Saccharomyces cerevisiae S288C: one gene and its partners. Changing the gene in region 2 together with the main gene of any one other region gives a genetic interaction. Each region holds a gene or a part of one and is shown on either strand. Other genes may lie near its edges.

Region 1 (2,914 bases), on a different chromosome or scaffold from region 2:
AAAATTACCTTTATGATTATATGAAAAGGTTTCAACAAATGTGCAAAGAATGCCGGTATGCTTGGAACGAAGAGGTTGACTATGACCAGAAACTAGAAATTAGAAAAAAATTACAGGTATGGAGGGCAAAATTTGAGGAAATGATGGATAACGAGATACAAATATTACAAAAAAACATGGATATCATGTCAAAGTTTGGTCTCAGAAGTGAGTCCTATCTTACAGCAGCGAATCACGATACAAATACACAACCAAATAATATTCTTCCCATGACGTACCTACTAAAAAAGAAATGACAATAGACTTTTAGGGCTTTAAGAAGAGTCCACGAAAGCACTTCACTATCATAAAGACTATATGTACCTTGATCAAAGAAATTATTGTCAAGATTTTATAGTAAGGGTATTATTTTGAAAACGGAGTCACCTGTTCTTTTATATACACACTTATATCTATCTATATGTCGATGTACATTCTTAGAACAAAAATCTGTCGGACCTTTACTGCGGCATTGTGACTTGAACATGGAAGCTAACTCCCTTGGGAAAAGCTGTTTTAGGCCTATCTGTTGGCCTGTCGATAAAAGACGCCAAGCAAATGACCTCTTCAGATGAATAACCTAAGGAAGACAACACGCCTCTAATAATTCCCACAGGTATCTCCAAAAACGGTTCTATCATTTTTAACTCCTCGTTTTTTGCATCTTCCTCCAAAGAAAATGATTGAATAGGTCGATAGTCATAATCAAGAAGGTAAAAGGTTCCTCTGTGGTTTGTTTTTAAATTATCGATCTGTTTACCAAATATTTGTTTCCAGACATCCCTACAAATGAACTTCATTATTAATAGAAGGTCCATTTCCTTGAATTTTAAATTTGGGTTGTTAGAAAATATCAATAACTCTGACAGCTTCAATCCGATTTGAAACCCAATATTCCTCAGTCTTGCTAAAACCTTTTCTTTTTCCTCTTCATCCGCCTTATACAGCTCATGTATCAAGTTATGAGAACGTATGATATCTACTGTATGATGTTCCTCTATCTTCAGTCTCTTTATCATATTGTTGATGTTACCATTTTCGGAAGTTACATTGCTATCAGAACTGATAACATCGCCTGATATTTGCCTCTCAATGCCCATAGCTAGAGGAACCATCTCGTTCAACAGCATCTGATACACAGATTGACTTACTTTTGGTAATGAATTCTCAAAAATTTGATATTGCTGTTGTGCTCTTTGTTGTTCCGTTAGTGGACCTTGTGGAGAAGATTGGGGATGTCCTACATTATTACTATGTGTAGAGGACATAATTGTTTATCTTCCAACTTTATAACCGGTGTATGTTTTCTTTTATGGCATGAGGTCTTCACTCTCAGCTTGTGAGTGCATACCAGATTCCAAAATATTTAGCATTTTTGGTCTCAAAACGTTGACGCGAGTTTTTGAAAACGATACGCTGGTTCTACTAATGTGAAGAAAGCAAATTTCTTATAAGTAAATTTTGTTTCATGGTTTTTATCATGTAGTTTTATATGTATAAATACGTTAAATGACTGTGGTAGAAAAATAATACAAATGCTATAAAAAAGTTTAAAAACGACTACTTTAGTTCGCTTTTAAAGCTGCCTCATTTGAGAGACTTTCAAATAGACATCGCTTAGGAACCAGATCCTTTTCAGATATATTAGTACCTTTAACAACTTTAAAGGAACCGGTACCGATCGACATCGTTTGACCCAAAATAATACATTCAGAAACACCTTCAACAGCGTCCTTTTTCATATAAAAGGCCGCATCGAATAAATGGTCAGTTGTCTTTTCGAAGGAGGCTAGCTGCAAAACAGAGTCCCTCATTTTACTCAAACCAAATCTTGTAATACCCAACACTTCACCCTTATATGTCATCACATCACCTAATAGTTGGATATGACGTGGATCGACACTCATACCGTGATTACTCATGGTATAGTTAATTTCTCTAATAATGCTATATCTTGCAGCTTCGATACCCAAAACGGAAAAGACTTCTAAAACATGGTTAGTTGTAGTTCTAGAACCAATGACACCATCTGTACACATCACATCTCGCAGGCCGTAACCTTCAACCAATAATTCCCTCTTGCCGTCATCGCGAATATTAATAACCGCACGAGAAATATCAGGTAAACCTTTAACAACAACATCAGGAAGCGCACGACGTAACTGTTGCATTCGGTAAAAAACATCATTCTCACTTGGTTCTTTCGCAGATGTAGATATCGATTTTGCTTTGTACCCTTCTGGGAATACGTTGATTGCAATTCGATCTTTACCAATAATATTGACATCAGAGGCTTGTATTTTCAATTTAGAAGCCCTGGTTATAGCAACCGCGATATCTTCTATGGTCAACTCCAATTGTAGTTTATCAATCGTACCTAAATCAATACGCACTTGAATGAAAGACAAGTTGTCTTTGTAAACATCTTGGACATAGAAAGCTACGTCAGATAGCAGTGTCTTTTCCACTCTACCTTTAACAACCCTAGCAGCCCTTTCATCGTTATCATTTACTAATACAGCATTTATAATAGGTGTAGAAATGACCTTGGAAGCATTGATAATTTCTTTGATACGAGGAACACCTAATGTAACATTCATGGAAGCCACACCTGCAAAATGAAAGGTCTTCAATGTCATTTGTGTACCTGGTTCACCAATGGATTGAGCACCAATAGCACCAATAGCAGTACCTGGCTCCAGTCTTGCCTTACGATATTTGAAAAGAGCAATTTCTAAAAACTTTCTCACCGATTTTTCACTGATTCTATAAAGTTGGCTTACAGATGTTTTAACATTATCAGGAACGGTTTCATCTGGATCAATACCTTGTAATTCTTTTGCAGGAGGTTCTAATAGGCCTAACATTCCCCTGG
Region 2 (3,073 bases):
TCTTCACAGGATTTCGACGTACACCTTTTATACAAATATATATATATATTTATATGTATGCGTAAGAGTCTAAAAAACGTTCACTTTAATTCCTTTTTTGCTTTTACTACTATTGTCTTTCTTCTTTCATTTGTCATCATGCAGTGAATGACTGAAACAATAGAGACAGGTATGAAAAAGAAAATTTTTTTCTTTTCAAACGGTAACGGGGGCAACGCGTCGCGTTCCTGAACAGCTTAATCTATTGCACGTATAAAAGCTGAGAACAATACGCTGACATAGCACCCCATTTTTTTTTCTTATCTTCACTTCAACAACCCCTCATCCGTAATTGTAAATGTCTCTCTCTCCCGTTGTTGTTATTGGAACCGGTTTGGCCGGGCTGGCTGCTGCCAATGAATTGGTTAACAAGTATAACATCCCTGTAACCATCCTCGAAAAGGCTTCCTCGATCGGTGGGAACTCTATCAAGGCCTCCAGTGGTATTAACGGTGCTTGCACCGAGACTCAACGTCACTTCCACATCGAGGACTCCCCACGCTTATTTGAAGATGACACCATCAAGTCTGCTAAAGGTAAAGGTGTCCAAGAATTAATGGCTAAGTTGGCCAATGATTCTCCCCTGGCTATTGAATGGTTGAAAAACGAATTTGATTTGAAATTGGACCTATTGGCTCAATTGGGTGGCCACTCTGTGGCAAGAACTCACAGATCGTCTGGGAAGTTGCCTCCAGGTTTCGAAATTGTTTCTGCCTTATCTAACAATTTGAAGAAATTAGCTGAGACTAAACCAGAGTTAGTTAAGATTAACTTAGACAGTAAAGTCGTAGACATCCATGAAAAGGATGGCTCCATTTCTGCTGTAGTGTACGAGGACAAGAATGGCGAAAAGCACATGGTGAGTGCTAACGATGTCGTTTTTTGTTCTGGAGGGTTTGGCTTTTCTAAGGAAATGCTTAAAGAATACGCACCCGAACTGGTGAACTTGCCAACAACAAACGGGCAACAAACAACTGGTGATGGTCAAAGGCTTCTGCAGAAGTTAGGCGCTGATCTGATTGACATGGACCAAATTCAAGTTCATCCAACTGGGTTCATTGATCCAAATGACCGTAGCTCAAGCTGGAAATTCTTGGCTGCCGAATCCTTAAGAGGTCTTGGTGGTATCCTATTAAACCCTATTACCGGTAGAAGATTTGTCAACGAATTGACCACAAGAGATGTAGTCACTGCAGCTATTCAAAAGGTTTGTCCTCAAGAGGATAACAGAGCACTATTGGTTATGGGCGAAAAAATGTACACAGATTTGAAGAATAATTTAGATTTTTACATGTTCAAGAAACTTGTACAGAAATTGACATTATCTCAAGTTGTTTCTGAATATAATTTACCAATCACTGTCGCCCAATTATGCGAGGAATTGCAAACATACTCTTCCTTCACTACCAAGGCTGATCCGTTGGGACGTACCGTTATTCTCAACGAATTTGGCTCTGACGTTACTCCAGAAACTGTGGTTTTTATTGGTGAAGTAACACCGGTTGTCCATTTCACCATGGGTGGTGCTAGAATCAATGTCAAGGCTCAAGTCATTGGCAAGAACGACGAAAGGCTACTAAAAGGCCTGTACGCGGCCGGTGAAGTTTCTGGCGGTGTTCATGGCGCCAATAGGTTGGGTGGTTCAAGTTTGTTAGAATGCGTTGTCTTTGGGAGAACCGCAGCTGAATCTATTGCCAATGACCGCAAGTAACGAATTTTATAAATGAATCATTTCTAAACGATTTTTTAATAGTATATAAGTAGTATTAATATTATTATTATTTTTTTTTTTTTTTTTTTTTCACTTTCGAAGTTCTGCCGGAAGAGCTCATCGACGGCCAAGAAACATTTTACATAAAAGTTATTGAGTTGAAAATTGAGTAAATATTCTCTCCAAAAATCAAATTGTACGTTTATATCACCAAACTATGAGCTTGAGGCCTTGCTTCGTATCATTGATAGATGAATCTGATAAACCTATATTGATTTACGTCCCTAATGAGGCGGAGAATGAGATGAATGATGTACTCAAATATAACGTGCTTTCTAACATATCGTTAGATTATTTTGAAAGTGCTTTGGTTGAATGGCATTCTTTAGATTCCAAACCTCTTCTGAAGTCAATTTTTCAATTGGAAGGTGTCTCTGTATTTGCTATGTTGATTAAGCAGACGGGCCTGAAGATTGTCATTGGATTTGAACAAAAAAGCCTAAGTGGAGCTGATGATGAATTTGAAGCAATCAATCAGATTTTCGAAACCGTAAGAAAAATCTATATACGTGTCAAATGTAATCCTTTACTTGTTAGCGGTGACGAAAAGTCCATTATAAAAAGCTTGGAAAGAAAATTTGATGAGTTGTTTATTTCAACTGAAGTTGAATTATAAATGATAATTTATTAGTCGATTCTTTCACGAATGAAAGCAAAATTTAATGTCACTGCTTTGGAGTGAGAGCGATTCAGAGAAGTTATTAATGTCTAATATGTCCAACTTGGTGACAGTTTCGCCTTGCCTAATTAGCGGGGATCAGGTGCCGGTAGTATATCTCAGATGACCGTGACAATCAAACTTTCTACTTCATTCAAGTGACTGTCAATTGTCATGCTGTTCATGAATAAATAAGATACGGAGACAATTAAGGCGATCGCTTTGACTCTACTGCTAACGAAAATTGTCCGAATTGAACAGATGTGGAAGCAATCACTATACGTTACTTCATAATGAAGATATTTGTTGGCTTTCCGAGATATAGACTGATCTTTGTCACTTCATATCCGGCACGGCAATTTTTACATGGGATGGCTCGTCATAAAGATACTGCGACCTTTGGAAAGTCTGAAATAAGTGCTAGGTTATGGTTACAACGAGAATTGACAGATATGATGTGATTGTTCACGTATGTACGTATAAAGATATTTATACTACCAAAAAAAAAAAAAGGGTTTTTTTTTATTTCATTATCTAAGTTTCATAGCATTTCCTTCATTAAATTGGCGTTTGTCTCTAGTTTGCGATAGTGTAGATACCGTCCT
Region 3 (3,724 bases), on a different chromosome or scaffold from region 2:
TACAAGAAAAGCATGGCTTATGTATTATACTTGCTTATGTACCAATATATACATATATGGCCTTATTAGGGCAACAAACGCCAAAAATAAAAACGAACCTAAATGAGAAAAAAAGAGAAAAATTTGGAAAACAACAAGAACTCAAAAAAAAAAATTGGTGGAAGGACCAAGTCCTCTTGAAAGAAAATTTAATACTGCTTTTCCAGAATATCATATTGGAAAAAATATTCAAGCCAGCACATCAGCTACAGTGGAAAATAGCCCAGATCAAATAGAACTATCCTTCGAACATGAGCGGTGAATTAGCAAATTACAAAAGACTTGAGAAAGTCGGTGAAGGTACATACGGTGTTGTTTATAAAGCGTTAGACTTAAGACCTGGCCAAGGTCAAAGAGTAGTCGCATTGAAGAAAATAAGACTAGAGAGTGAAGACGAGGGTGTTCCCAGTACAGCCATCAGAGAAATCTCATTATTGAAGGAATTAAAAGACGATAATATTGTCAGATTATACGATATTGTTCACTCTGATGCACACAAGCTATATCTTGTTTTTGAGTTCCTCGATTTGGACCTGAAAAGATATATGGAGGGTATTCCAAAGGACCAACCGTTAGGAGCTGATATTGTTAAGAAGTTTATGATGCAACTTTGTAAGGGTATTGCATACTGCCACTCACACCGTATTCTGCATCGTGATTTAAAACCGCAGAACTTATTGATTAACAAAGATGGGAATCTAAAACTAGGTGATTTTGGCTTAGCGCGTGCTTTTGGTGTTCCGTTGAGAGCTTACACACATGAAATTGTTACTCTATGGTATAGAGCTCCGGAGGTATTACTGGGTGGAAAACAATATAGTACAGGTGTCGATACATGGTCCATCGGCTGTATATTTGCCGAAATGTGTAACAGGAAACCAATCTTCAGTGGCGATAGTGAGATCGATCAGATTTTCAAGATATTCAGAGTATTGGGAACGCCGAATGAAGCTATATGGCCAGATATTGTCTACTTGCCTGATTTCAAGCCAAGCTTTCCTCAATGGCGCAGAAAAGACCTATCACAAGTGGTACCAAGTCTAGATCCACGCGGTATTGATTTGTTGGACAAACTCCTCGCGTATGACCCTATTAACCGGATTAGCGCCAGAAGAGCAGCCATCCACCCCTACTTCCAAGAATCATAAGCATTATAATCTATTTCGCTATTATATTACAAATGCTACTGCACTGTCATTATAGCCTAGTAAAGTATATAGTGAATACAATATACTCAGTTTCAACATTATGATGGGTAACTCCATCAGAAAATATATTCATCGTCATATACGGAACATTCAGTTATACGCGAAAGTAAAAGTGAGAGCTTTTCAGGGGTTAAAAGCTGGGCGTGTTCCATGACGTATTTACCGAGGTCGTATTATCAAAGAAAATGAAAAAAAAAAAAAAAAAAAAAAAAGCGAAGAGGAAAAAGACAAACGAAAAACAAAACGAAATAACGCATTGTATGCTGGGGCCTCAATTGAACTTCTTTGACTATAAGGAGTTCGCTTGTTTAAAGCCGTTTCGCATCTGACTCGCCCTTGGTTTTTTTCTCTGTTCTTGTTTTTGACCTCCGCAAATTCATTGCTCTTTGAATTTTGAAGAGTTTCATTGTCACCGTTGAATAACCGAGACGGGTATTGTTTTTATTTCCTTCATTATTTACATCGCAACACGATTTTTATTAGCTTCCTCAAGGAGCGCTGACCGTATATAATATAATTTCAACAACCGAACAAGGCAGTGCGAAGCGGTGCACCTTACAACAGTGCTAAAGTAGTTACAGTAAACCAATTAATACGTGATGAAGAAGGAGTTGAAAATTCTTATAATAGCGAACATTGCATTACTTATCTCTATAATACATTACACATTTGATTTGTTGACGTTATGTATAGATGATACTTCCAAAGATGCGCTAACAGATGAACAGCTGAACCCCCCCAATGGCTTCAATTCAACATTCTATGAGTCTCCTCCTCAACTCATACCGAAAATCATTCATCAAACCTACAAAACAAACGATATCCCAGAACAGTGGGTAAAAGGGAGGCAGAAGTGCATTGATTTACATCCGGATTACACTTACATTTTATGGACGGATGAAATGTCTGATACTTTCATTAAACAGGAATACCCGTGGTTTCTTGACACCTTTAGGAGTTATGAATATCCAATTGAGAGGGCGGATGCAATACGGTATTTCATCCTTTCGCATTATGGTGGTATTTACATTGACTTGGATGATGGTTGTGAAAGAAGGCTAGACCCTTTGTTGAAAGTACCAGCATTTCTAAGGAAAACTTCGCCTACAGGAGTGTCAAATGATGTGATGGGCTCTGTTCCAAGGCACCCCTTCTTCTTGAAGGTCATCAAATCGTTGAAACACTATAAGAAAAACTGGTACATTCCATATATGACAATCATGGGCTCTACGGGCCCCTTATTCATTAGTGTGGTTTGGAAGCAATATAAGAGATGGTCTAATACGGCCGAAAATGGTGCGGTAAGAATTTTACAACCTGCAGATTATAAAATGCATAATAATTCTTTTTTCTCAATATCTAAAGGTTCCTCCTGGCATACGGGTGATGCCAATTTTATGAAAACTCTAGAGAATCACATCTTGTCTTGCGTGGTTACCGGATTCATTTTTGGCTTTTTCATATTATACGGTGAATTTACATTTTATACTTGGCTGTGCTCGGGACCATTTAACAACAAACGCTATTACATTCAGTGGTTGAGTGACAAGTTCAAGTTACACAAGTGGAAACTAACATCGTCTTACAAGAATAAGGAAAAGAGGCGGAATCCTACTCGTCACGAATATAATTCGAGGGGTAAGAGATTAAGAAAAGATTCTAATATCCCCTACGACAGCGTTTTCCTTGATATAGAAAAGAATCACGCAAAATTTACCGACTTAACCTGATTGAATTGCCACTGTTCTACCCCTATAATATTGTGAGCATGGATAAATCTCAAAAACAATGGCGTATAGATATATAACAGGTATTAAATCTTAGTATTTAAGAATTACAAGTAACATGCATTCCTATAAAAATTAAAGAGAAAAAAATTCGATTATAAAATAGTACAATGTCCAGAAGCTTGGTTTTTAATAGTATATAATAAAGATAAAGATAGATAGAGAACATAACTCTAAACTTTAAGAGTGAATTTTTTTTTTTTAGTTTAGTTTTTTTTTTTTTTTTTTTTTACAATAATGTATTGTTCTTGGAAAATAACACAATCTGTTCAAAGTGGACAGAAACCCTAAAACAAAAATAATAACGGGGAAGGAAAAAAATAGCAAGTGAAACATAAATGAAAAAAAGGAAAATTTTATTGGTTAATAAGAAACGATCGACTATGGCAAGGCCGCAGAAGAACCGGACTTGCTCAACCATTGGTCAACGACATCATCGCTTAAAGTAGCATCAAAGCTTTCGTCGACTTCGATAATGTGAATAGTTTTATCACTTGAATTAAAGATTACGGCAGCCTTTAAAGTACCATCAGTTGGTCTCTCGAAGTAATCTTGAGTACCACCATCTTGGCCGTCATGGATGTGTGAGATTAATTTATCAGAACCAGCGGTCAAAATTTCGAACAAATCCATTTCACCACAGCCAGTTTTCCAACAAGAACAAGATGCATCACCATATTGCAAGGTTCT

The links.
Region 1: mutations in TCA17 (region 2) and TRS33 impair growth when combined (synthetic growth defect), as found in Saccharomyces cerevisiae (2 studies listed by BioGRID, with this or other methods).
Region 3: of TCA17 (region 2) and CSH1, a mutation in one rescues a mutant of the other (synthetic rescue), as found in Saccharomyces cerevisiae (one study listed by BioGRID).

The regions. Positions count from the first base shown.
Region 1 is NC_001147.6:538,159-541,072, forward strand, and holds TRS33 (Trs33p), read right to left. Parts: upstream 1,308-2,914; coding exon 501-1,307; downstream 1-500. Other genes in the region: mitochondrial HMG-box protein CIM1, read left to right, coding at 1-296; DNA-directed RNA polymerase III core subunit RPO31, read right to left, coding at 1,605-2,914.
Region 2 is NC_001137.3:64,062-67,134, reverse strand, and holds TCA17 (Tca17p), read left to right. Parts: upstream 1-1,967; coding exon 1,968-2,426; downstream 2,427-3,073. Other genes in the region: FRD1 (fumarate reductase), read left to right, coding at 338-1,750; seripauperin PAU2, read right to left, coding at 3,045-3,073. UniProt on the Saccharomyces cerevisiae protein: Required, together with the TRAPP II subunit TRS33, for TRAPP II complex assembly or stability, and for proper Golgi localization of TRAPP and the Rab GTPase YPT31.
Region 3 is NC_001134.8:559,788-563,511, forward strand, and holds CSH1 (mannosylinositol phosphorylceramide synthase catalytic subunit CSH1), read left to right. Parts: upstream 1-1,846; coding exon 1,847-2,977; downstream 2,978-3,724. Other genes in the region: cyclin-dependent serine/threonine-protein kinase CDC28, read left to right, coding at 291-1,187; TOS1 (Tos1p), read right to left, coding at 3,416-3,724. UniProt on the Saccharomyces cerevisiae protein: Involved in the synthesis of mannosyl phosphorylinositol ceramide. Catalyzes the addition of mannosyl to phosphorylinositol ceramide.